Oryzias latipes: one gene and its partner. The protein of the gene in region 2 purifies or fractionates together with the protein of the main gene of each other region. This does not show direct contact. Links are inferred from orthologs where the notes say so. Each region holds a gene or a part of one and is shown on either strand. Other genes may lie near its edges. The genes, in order: eif2s2 and cdc123.

What was found.
Region 1: the proteins of cdc123 (region 2) and eif2s2 purify together in Homo sapiens (affinity purification with mass spectrometry; 4 studies listed by BioGRID and IntAct, counting the BioPlex papers as one, with this or other methods). This does not show direct contact. The link is inferred for Oryzias latipes from reciprocal best matches to the Homo sapiens genes CDC123 and EIF2S2.

The regions. Positions count from the first base shown.
Region 1 is NC_019865.2:7,389,908-7,394,166, forward strand, and holds the start of eif2s2 (eukaryotic translation initiation factor 2 subunit 2), read right to left. Parts: upstream 2,912-4,259; 5' UTR 2,796-2,911; coding exon 2,781-2,795; intron 2,038-2,780; coding exon 1,857-2,037; intron 1,757-1,856; coding exon 1,644-1,756; intron 1,552-1,643; coding exon 1,419-1,551; intron 1,351-1,418; coding exon 1,250-1,350; intron 1,083-1,249; coding exon 934-1,082; intron 825-933; coding exon 768-824; intron 670-767; coding exon 584-669; intron 1-583.
Region 2 is NC_019881.2:2,947,237-2,951,690, forward strand, and holds the start of cdc123 (cell division cycle protein 123 homolog), read right to left. Parts: upstream 2,868-4,454; 5' UTR 2,820-2,867; coding exon 2,746-2,819; intron 2,546-2,745; coding exon 2,474-2,545; intron 258-2,473; coding exon 194-257; intron 78-193; coding exon 45-77; intron 1-44. Other genes in the region: nudt5 (ADP-sugar pyrophosphatase), read left to right, coding at 3,537-3,650. UniProt on the Homo sapiens protein: ATP-dependent protein-folding chaperone for the eIF2 complex. Binds to the gamma subunit of the eIF2 complex which allows the subunit to assemble with the alpha and beta subunits.

The DNA of each region.
Region 1 (4,259 bases), on a different chromosome or scaffold from region 2:
CACAACAAGACCTATGTTTAGTAAATTCCTTTGTGAAAATTTTTAAAATGCTTATCTCCGAACTCCAAATACCTTTAATTCATTATTAGTTACTGAAATTTCTCATGCTGGTAACCCTTTAATACTGGAAATGTCACCGGTGCCACCTAAAGAACATGTGCTCTCTGACATACCGTAACTCACTGACCATTCACTTCACACAATCACCGCGAATCAGCTGATTCTGACGCAGAGAAAGCGGCTTTTCATAGTGGCTACGCACTGATATGCAACACATTACTAATGCTAAGTGCTAAATAACTGTGCAAAGCCACTTTTTTCCAAGACAGAATCACCTGATTTATATCGGCTGGGAAAGCACGTCACTGCTGTAAAGTGTTGTAGATCTGCGGAAGGCTTTAGAATTAGCTTGAATTACCTTATGGTAATTGCATAAACGGACGAAGAGTTACAGTAGTTAGAATAGAATACTTTAGAATAGAAGGTTTTATTAATCCCAATATGGGGATTGTCAGAAAGAAGGCCAACACCGGAGTTTTAAAGGGTTAACTCAGCTGTAATAAACCACAAACTTTAGACTTACTGATGTATCTTCTTAACACATTTTCAATCTGTTTCTGTTGAAATCTGCCTTTGATCACCAGCTGATTATTTCCATCTATGGAGCCGCTGTTTACAGACAAAAACATTTGTTTTTAGAAAAACAGACATAAACTGTTTGTACCAAAAAAAAAAAAAATTACACTCAGTTTATGCTTTCCAGATACCTCGTTCCCAGCTCAGCCAGCAGAAAAGCGAGGAGATGTTTAGGCTGACGATGCAACCTGTGTTCAAAACGAATGACACGCCAGTTTTAGAGTTACGTGGGAAAAAATAAAAAAAATAAAAGGAGAGCGAAAAAATAAAATAAAAAAAGGAAAGTCGGATGCTAACAGTTTGCAGATGTCTGTGAAGTTGACAAAAGAGGTTTTTTTGGTTCCCACTCGGACCACTTGAGGAGGCTTCATCACAAACTTCCTCTTCTCTCCGGCCACCATGTCCGGGTTCTTTTCTCTCATGATGTTGAAGACTCTATTTAGGAGCTGAAAGAGACATGAGTTATAGGGTTGAATTAAAAACAGGGCAAGATCCTAACATTGTTACCAAAAAAAATTGTATTTTGAGGGGTTTGATGTTGTTAGATTATGCATTTGAGGATACGAATAGCAAGATTTGCAGAACACATCTGTACACTCTGGGTGATTTTTACCTCATCGTAGGTGTAATCCCTTTCTGAGCCTGCCCAGGCAGGTCCTGTAGAGGAGCTGAAAGAAATCCCATCACTGATCTTGCTCTCATCATCTTCCAGTGCTGCAGACAATATCAAAATCACAAACAGCTTCTTTATGTTCATGTGCCAAACAGGAATTGATGTCTACCTTCATCGTTTTCCAACAACTCTTTCCCTCCTTCATCAAAGTCACTTTTCTTTGGCTTCTTCTTTTTTGTTGGAAGAACCAAATCCAGGTCCTCCTCTTGCGCCTTTGTTTGTTCGCCTTCAATTTTTAATTCCTGGATTTTTAGAATTGAACAGAGAGTTGAATTAGAGAAACATGTAAAGATGCTGCAGAATATGGTACTGGTTGGAGAAAAAGAAAACTCACCTTTAATTCTTCTTCTAAATCATCGAACACTTTTTTAGGTTTCTTCTTCTTTTTCTTCTGGTTGGCAAAGTTCAGGTCATTCAAATCATCCGATGGTTCTAAAAGAAATTTAACTGATGTCAAGTAAGTAGCGTGCAGTGAAAATCTCAAGAACAATTCATAATAGTGCAGCTGTAAAGTCTAGTTCAGCTTGAAAACATTCATTTTGCCAACCTTTCTTCCTGCTTTCATCTTCTTCTAGATCCACTTCTTTCTCTTCAACCTCTGGCTCGACCTCCTTTGCTTCTCCCTCTTTCGCCTCTTCTCCTCCTGCGCCCTCTCCTCCTTCCTCATCCACCATGAAAGGCTTCTTCTTCTTCTTTTTCTTCTTGGTCATGTTAGGATCAAAAATCATCTACAAATGAAATGAGGGGGGGGGGGGGTAAAAAAAAGAAATCAGTCATGAGGCCGACATCATACCTACAAAAATTTGAAGTTTGACATGGAGAGTAATTGTAGTTAATGAAACCCGTTTAAAAATCGGACATGTTTGATCTGGGTTAAAACATGATTATTTTACCAGCATATCACATAGCAAGTTAAGCAGTTCAGGCAGGCTGCAGGACACAGAATAGTTATAAATACGTGACATCGGATTTCCTGTTATTTGTGCTCTCAGATTTCCATAATGGCAGAAGAGTTGTAGCAACTCTGTTATCTAAATTAGTTACATAATGTATTTAAACACAAAAGGTAGTTGTGTCATCGTCTGTTCTTCACAGAACAGTCGGAGTAGCTTGGGCTTGCTAACACAGAAGTGACTGTCGGTTAGCGTCGCGCGCTTCGCTAACTACTAGCTAACATTAACTTCTTTTTTGTATCAATTAACTGGTCTTTTCGACGTTGAAGGTTCCATAAGGGTGGATCTACTAGTAAATATTTAACAAAAAGCGGTGAGCTGGACATTTTCTTGTTTAATTCGTCTGTCTGGGCCGCTGTTAGCCCAGCTGCCACCATGTGAGAGTTGCCGCTGCCAAGGGGAATCGTGTGGAGCCAGGCCCCACCTCAACACCAATCGGCTCCTAAAGTTCCGCTAACTGCATCCCAAAAGTCACGGCACTGACAGCGAATAATGGTTGATAATCAAAGAAGACTCACCTCGTCTCCCGACATGTTTGCACAATGAAAAAACGATACAAATCACAGAACTTCTTATCCTTCGACCAGCCTCAGATCTCCGCGTAAAATTTCTTGCATCAGCGACGGACCACAGTGCGCAATCGCAAAGAGGAGGAATTTTGACGTCTTTTCTTTGCGACGGCGCATGACTCACGTCACCCAACTAGAAAGAATTAGCAACAATATTTGATGCAATACAAAACAAACTGTTGCAACTTTTTAAGGGAAATAAAAATGCTGTTCCATTAGTCAAAATGAATTAGTTTGTAGTCAAATTTTGTCATTTTTTTTACTGAAATTTTATTTTTTTCTATGTATATCGCAATTGAAGAATATTGTTAAAAACCAAATCATATGATATTCTCAATATTTTAGGAAAAATGTAAACAAACCATAAATGTTTTTTTATTTATTTTATTTTTAATAATTATTTTCTGATAATATTTGTGTTACGGGGTTGAAACAGTTGAAGATCGTGACAGGGTTGAAGGGACAAATATGGACCTATGTATAGTTTCTTAATCATGAAATTCAGTGTTAGGACTTTCCTTTATCTTTATGTATATAATGATAACTAATTAACCATAAGAAAATCAGACTCAAATTGAAGTATGACGTGTTTCAAAGCTGTGAGTGTGAAGGGTGGATATTTTCCCTTGGATTCCTTCTCTGCCACTCACACGAAACAGAAATTGTGTTCAGCCTGAAGCAGAATGGCAATTTCCATTGTAATAAATGATCATTTTTTAAAATACTTGCGTTATCAAACAATCAAAGTTCTTAAATCTCAACCTTGCCACAGTCTCTCAACCCCGTTGCACTAAAACACAACAGAGTGGAGTGTGACTGGGTTGAGATTTTTGCACAAAATGGCTGCTGCTTCATGTACTGAACATTATGAAGAGGTCATGAAGTTCAGATTTAACATACTTATTTAAAAGACTAAAACTACTTTGCAAGTAGAAGTTGTCCATTTTATTTACATGTTACGGGGTTGAATTACTGAGTTTGAAAATCAGTTTCACAGAAAAAATGACAAAAGATTAAAAAATAAATAAAGGCAAGAACTGGGCCCCCTTTGATGTCAAGTGATCCAAAAGATTCTAGTTGTTTTTTGTTGTTTTCTTTTTACATTTTTTTAATTCTTTATTAGAACCCTAATCCTAACCGTACAACAGAAATAAATAAAAAGGAAAATAATTAAAATGGAAATAAATAACATTAGAATTGTAGTTCACAATACTAGGGATTGTCATACATCATATGGTCTTCAATGAAAATGGACAGTTTTGTTGCATTTTTGTTTTTCATGAATTTCAGCAATTTAATATATAAACAGATCTCTTTATGAAACGTATTAAATAATAGTTCGGTTTTTCAAAAATCTTCTCTTATGAATGAAGACTTTCTCAGAAATTAAGTATTAAATGCCAAATCAAATCAATGATCTGCAGAAAC
Region 2 (4,454 bases):
AGGTGACCTCTGTGCAGAACAGCAGAGCAGACAAATGAACTTACTGTCACTGTTGTTGTCGTTTCATCATCTGACCACTAGAAGGAAGGAGAAAGAAAAAGAAGAAGGTTTTAGCTGAACAATTAGTTGTTCTGCTCGGTTATCAAAGACTGGAGAGTTTCATTTTTGGTCTAAAGCCGAAGCGTGATCCCACCTGCACGTCCTCCTGGTCCTCTGAGTCGCTGTTGTCCGTGTGCCTCGGCTGCGTGTTCTGATCACTGACGGGAGAGGAAAGGCAAACGTTTGTGAAACACGTTTGAAGTCCCGCTCCCATCATCCTTAGATCCTTTTTCAAAGCGTTCCCAGTGCTCTTTCAATTCCAAGATCGTTTCCGCACAAGTTCATTGAGAAATTCCCTGCTGAGTTGTGGGTGGGACCATTGGCGTGGGAGGCAAGCCCGCCCCCCTTCCCCTCACCTTTGCTGAGACCCATTTAGCTTACAGCTCCTCAAACTCCCAAACTAACAATGGCGGCGCCACAAAAATGGCGAGCAATAGAGATCTATCCATCCTAACAGGTTTAAACTGAGACCAGGAAAACGGAGACGTCCGTGGATCCGTCTGTCTGGAAGATGCATCAGAATGGAGCGGAGCGGGGAGATGGCGGCCTGCTGATTGCGCCTACGTCACATCTAAGAGCTTTTTCCCCGATTCACAACGATCGGAATAAAGAAATGCTCAGAATATTAAGCCCAATTTTCTTTCTATGTGTCCATCATGATGAGAAAAATGCTACAAAACACCAAAAACACAATTTTCATCAGAGTGGGTCTCTGATGAATGAACCAACAATAAAACTGTGCTTAGATGAGCATTTGCTTCCACGTTCAGTAGACTTTGGACTAAAACAAACAAACCTTAAAACTATTATTAACTATTTTAGCACCAGATTGGATTATGACCTGCTGATTAAACACAACTAGGTTTAAAATTATTTACATGAATTCAAATTGGATTCAGAGGTTTACAATTCAAAATAATTCAAAAAAGACGAATATATTTTCATCCAAAACTGGTTTTTGGAAAAAGTTTTTCTATCGTTAGCTGTTTCAACTGAACAAAGATGTCATTTACAGAATTATCTTTTTTTTTCATAAAACACTAACTAAACTAAAGGCTGTTATTTTTGTTTTTTTACTGAAAGAACGTAAAAAAGGCGGAAATAATTTCATTGGATTTGATAAATTACATTCGCTTATTTATATTTTTACTGAAAATGAATCCAGAAAAAGCAGCTTTGGCCTTCTCAGGTTTAACTTATTTCTAATTTAAAGTGGAATGATACATTAATTTTTTTATCATTATCTTTTTTTTAATTATCAATTTTAATTGAAATTCTAGCTGGTGTAATATCATTCCATACAGACGTACATCCACATGCTAACATATGTTTCACTCAAGGGGCCGATCCTCATTTCAATGTAAAAAAACAACTTCCTTTTAGATCTTTTAGGAGGCTGCATGAAGCCATGAAGCCATGAAGAGAAAAGGATTCATCCCGTCCTTCATCTTCTTTCCACTCACATGGTAATAACCCTTTGCTGTTATTTTTGTTTCCTTTCACAAATCCTCAGACGAGAAAGAACAAGACGGAATTTGCAGAAATATACACAAGTCTAGTTATTGGTGAGAAACAAAGGCATATTCATTTTACATCTCCAAACCCCAAAGCGCCATCGCCGGGTCATTTTCACCCAAACATAACTATTTACATGAATTTCAGTATGTCGTGTGTGAAGGAGTCTGTGCCTTCCCCAGGGAAGTCTCACATGTCCCAGGAACGGCCGGACCAACGACAACATTTCTAGTATCTTTTGATTATTTTTAGGAATTTTTTTTGTTCTCAAATTCCCAGTTTTTCAGTAATTTTTGAGCACGTTTTTAGAAACTTCCTGTTTATCTTTTTCATGTTGCTGCAGATACCACCGTTGAAACAAAAGAAAACCACTCATTTTTTTCTGACAAGTCCTTTTGTTGGGTATATTATATCAGGAAAATAATTACCCAGCAAAAGCGGTGGTGTAACTTCTCATAGTGAAAGTGTTCTGGGGTTCAGGTCAATTGATTTTTCTGTTTACATTTTTGAATAATCTGATACTTTAGGAGATCAGAAAATTACTTGATTTTTGGTTTTCATAAGAAGAGAGTTTCAGTGAGTTTTCACATCAAAAATAAAAACATAATTGACCCTTTTTGTTCTTTACTATTTCAGAATGTGAGAAAAAGAGCATACAAAACAAATCTAGCAAGCAAAGTCACAAGCCCTGCAGATATGATTAAAAAAAACAAGATTAAACCAGTTAAAAGCCAAGACATCTACAAACTGGAAAAAAAAGAATAAATTATATAAAACCGGGTTCTTTTAAACTTCAGATTTCCCACTGCACCTAAACGCATCAGAGCAAATAAATTGTGTTGGATTTTTTTAATCTTACCTCCCAGAAACCACCAGCGTCCCATCGTCCAGTAAATAGTCGATTACATTCTGAGGCAATGGAAGAATTAAACTAGAAAACAGGCACAACATTCATTTGAATTAATATAATTTAAGGTGCAAATTGTAGGTGATAATATAGGGAAACTAGAATCATAAGTTCAACAATTGAACTAAAGAAATACAGACGCCAGCTTGACGTTTTGTTATGAAAGTGAACACTAGAACGGGTTTTTACAGTAGCACTAAGTGTAGTAGTTTTTAAAAAGTCACCTTTTTATCGTATGTTTTTTGAAAATCGGGTACCAAGCCGAAAACTGACAGTTAACAACCTGCTCCTTCTTCATGCTGTACAGGAAACGTCCGTCACTTAAAATCTTCCCACCCCTGACCTCAGTTCCGTGTTTCAATTTAAACAACACTACGCCACAGGCTGTTAACTTATTTCTATATGTGTTATTTAAAACGGGTTTAAAATCATAAAAAAATATTGACGGTATGTATTGTATGTATATTTGAGTTAATAGGAATTGTGTAAGAATTCTTGAGAGGGGACAGTCTTAGAAGGGACACGCCGGTCTGCAGTTCATATTCACGAAACGCAGGGCATAGATCGTTGATTGTAAAGACGTTTCACTTATTATTATTTTTGTTCCAAAAAACGTGGTACACATATGAATAATTACCAATTTATATTAAAGAACGTATAGCATATTATAATCACAAATTTAATACATTTTGGAAAAACAATAACAATAAAAATTGCTTTTCCACGACAACAGAAAGAGGTACGGAGTGAGCCGCCTTTTTATTTTTACTGTCTTCTCCCACTGGTTCCAGCTTTCACGTGAGTTTAGTTTCCAGATTTTCGGGTTTACTAAAATTTAAAACTCTTAGTCTTTGGGGATCTGGGGTCCCGAAAGCGTCTTGCTGTTGTTGCGCTGTCAGAACAGTTTGCACACGTTTTGTTGGCTTTTCTTTGGTTCTTGTTGTCTGTTAGCGCTGAGGTTGTGTGCTTGTAGCTTTGAGTTTTTGTGTGAGAGCTGGAGGAGCATCATGGCGCGATGTTTCTGAACTTTCTACCTTCTTATGTTCCCTCTTCAGTCGTCCAAACTGTAAAAATGAGTAATCCCGAAGAAACCAAAGGGACCACAACCCCACATGTCGTCAAAGAAGAGGTTGGTCTTTTGTTTGTTCCTGAAAAATGCATTTTGTTTGCTGCAGTTTCAAATATCTAACCACATTTTTTAACTTTGCTGAAGCTTTAAAGAGCTTTAAAGGTCTGTCACTTTCTGAAATCCCATTAAAATAAAATAAAGAATAAGTTTGCTAGTATTTTCAAGAGTTAATATGTCATGTTTAGTTGATCTTAAAGTATTTTATGTTTGTATTTTCACAGTTTAGGACAAGCTCAGTTAGAAACCCGTCTTTTTCTTTTGAATTTTACATAATTTTTATACATTTAATTTATAATAATAGACAAAATACATTTTATTTTATGCAAAACAAACTTATTAGAGTTATTTTTAGGAACAATGATGTTATAGTGATAATGTCAAAATATACTGATTATTTTACTTTAAAGTTAATTTTCTCCTGTTTAGGCCATCTGGGATTACCTTGTTGTGGTATTCTAAATCTAAGACAAAGGTTTCTGAAAGAATTAGTCCATTATAAACAGAATTATTGCTTTATTTTGCCTTAGAAAGATTAGTTTTTGTGGTTTAGATGTCTCCCACCCAAACAAACATGGATTGATTTTTACATCTGTAGGAACATTTTAAAGGTGAAAATTCTGTTTTTCACAAATTCTTGTGGCATAATTCTCATGATGAAGGACATAAATTATGAAAATTACAGTAAAAATGGCACTTTTGAGTATTTTTTTATTCAAATTATTGTGATTCAGGAGCATAAAAACAGCTACAGCCAGACACCAGCTCCATTCTGATGCATCCAGTCGTCGACGTCTAGATCCATGA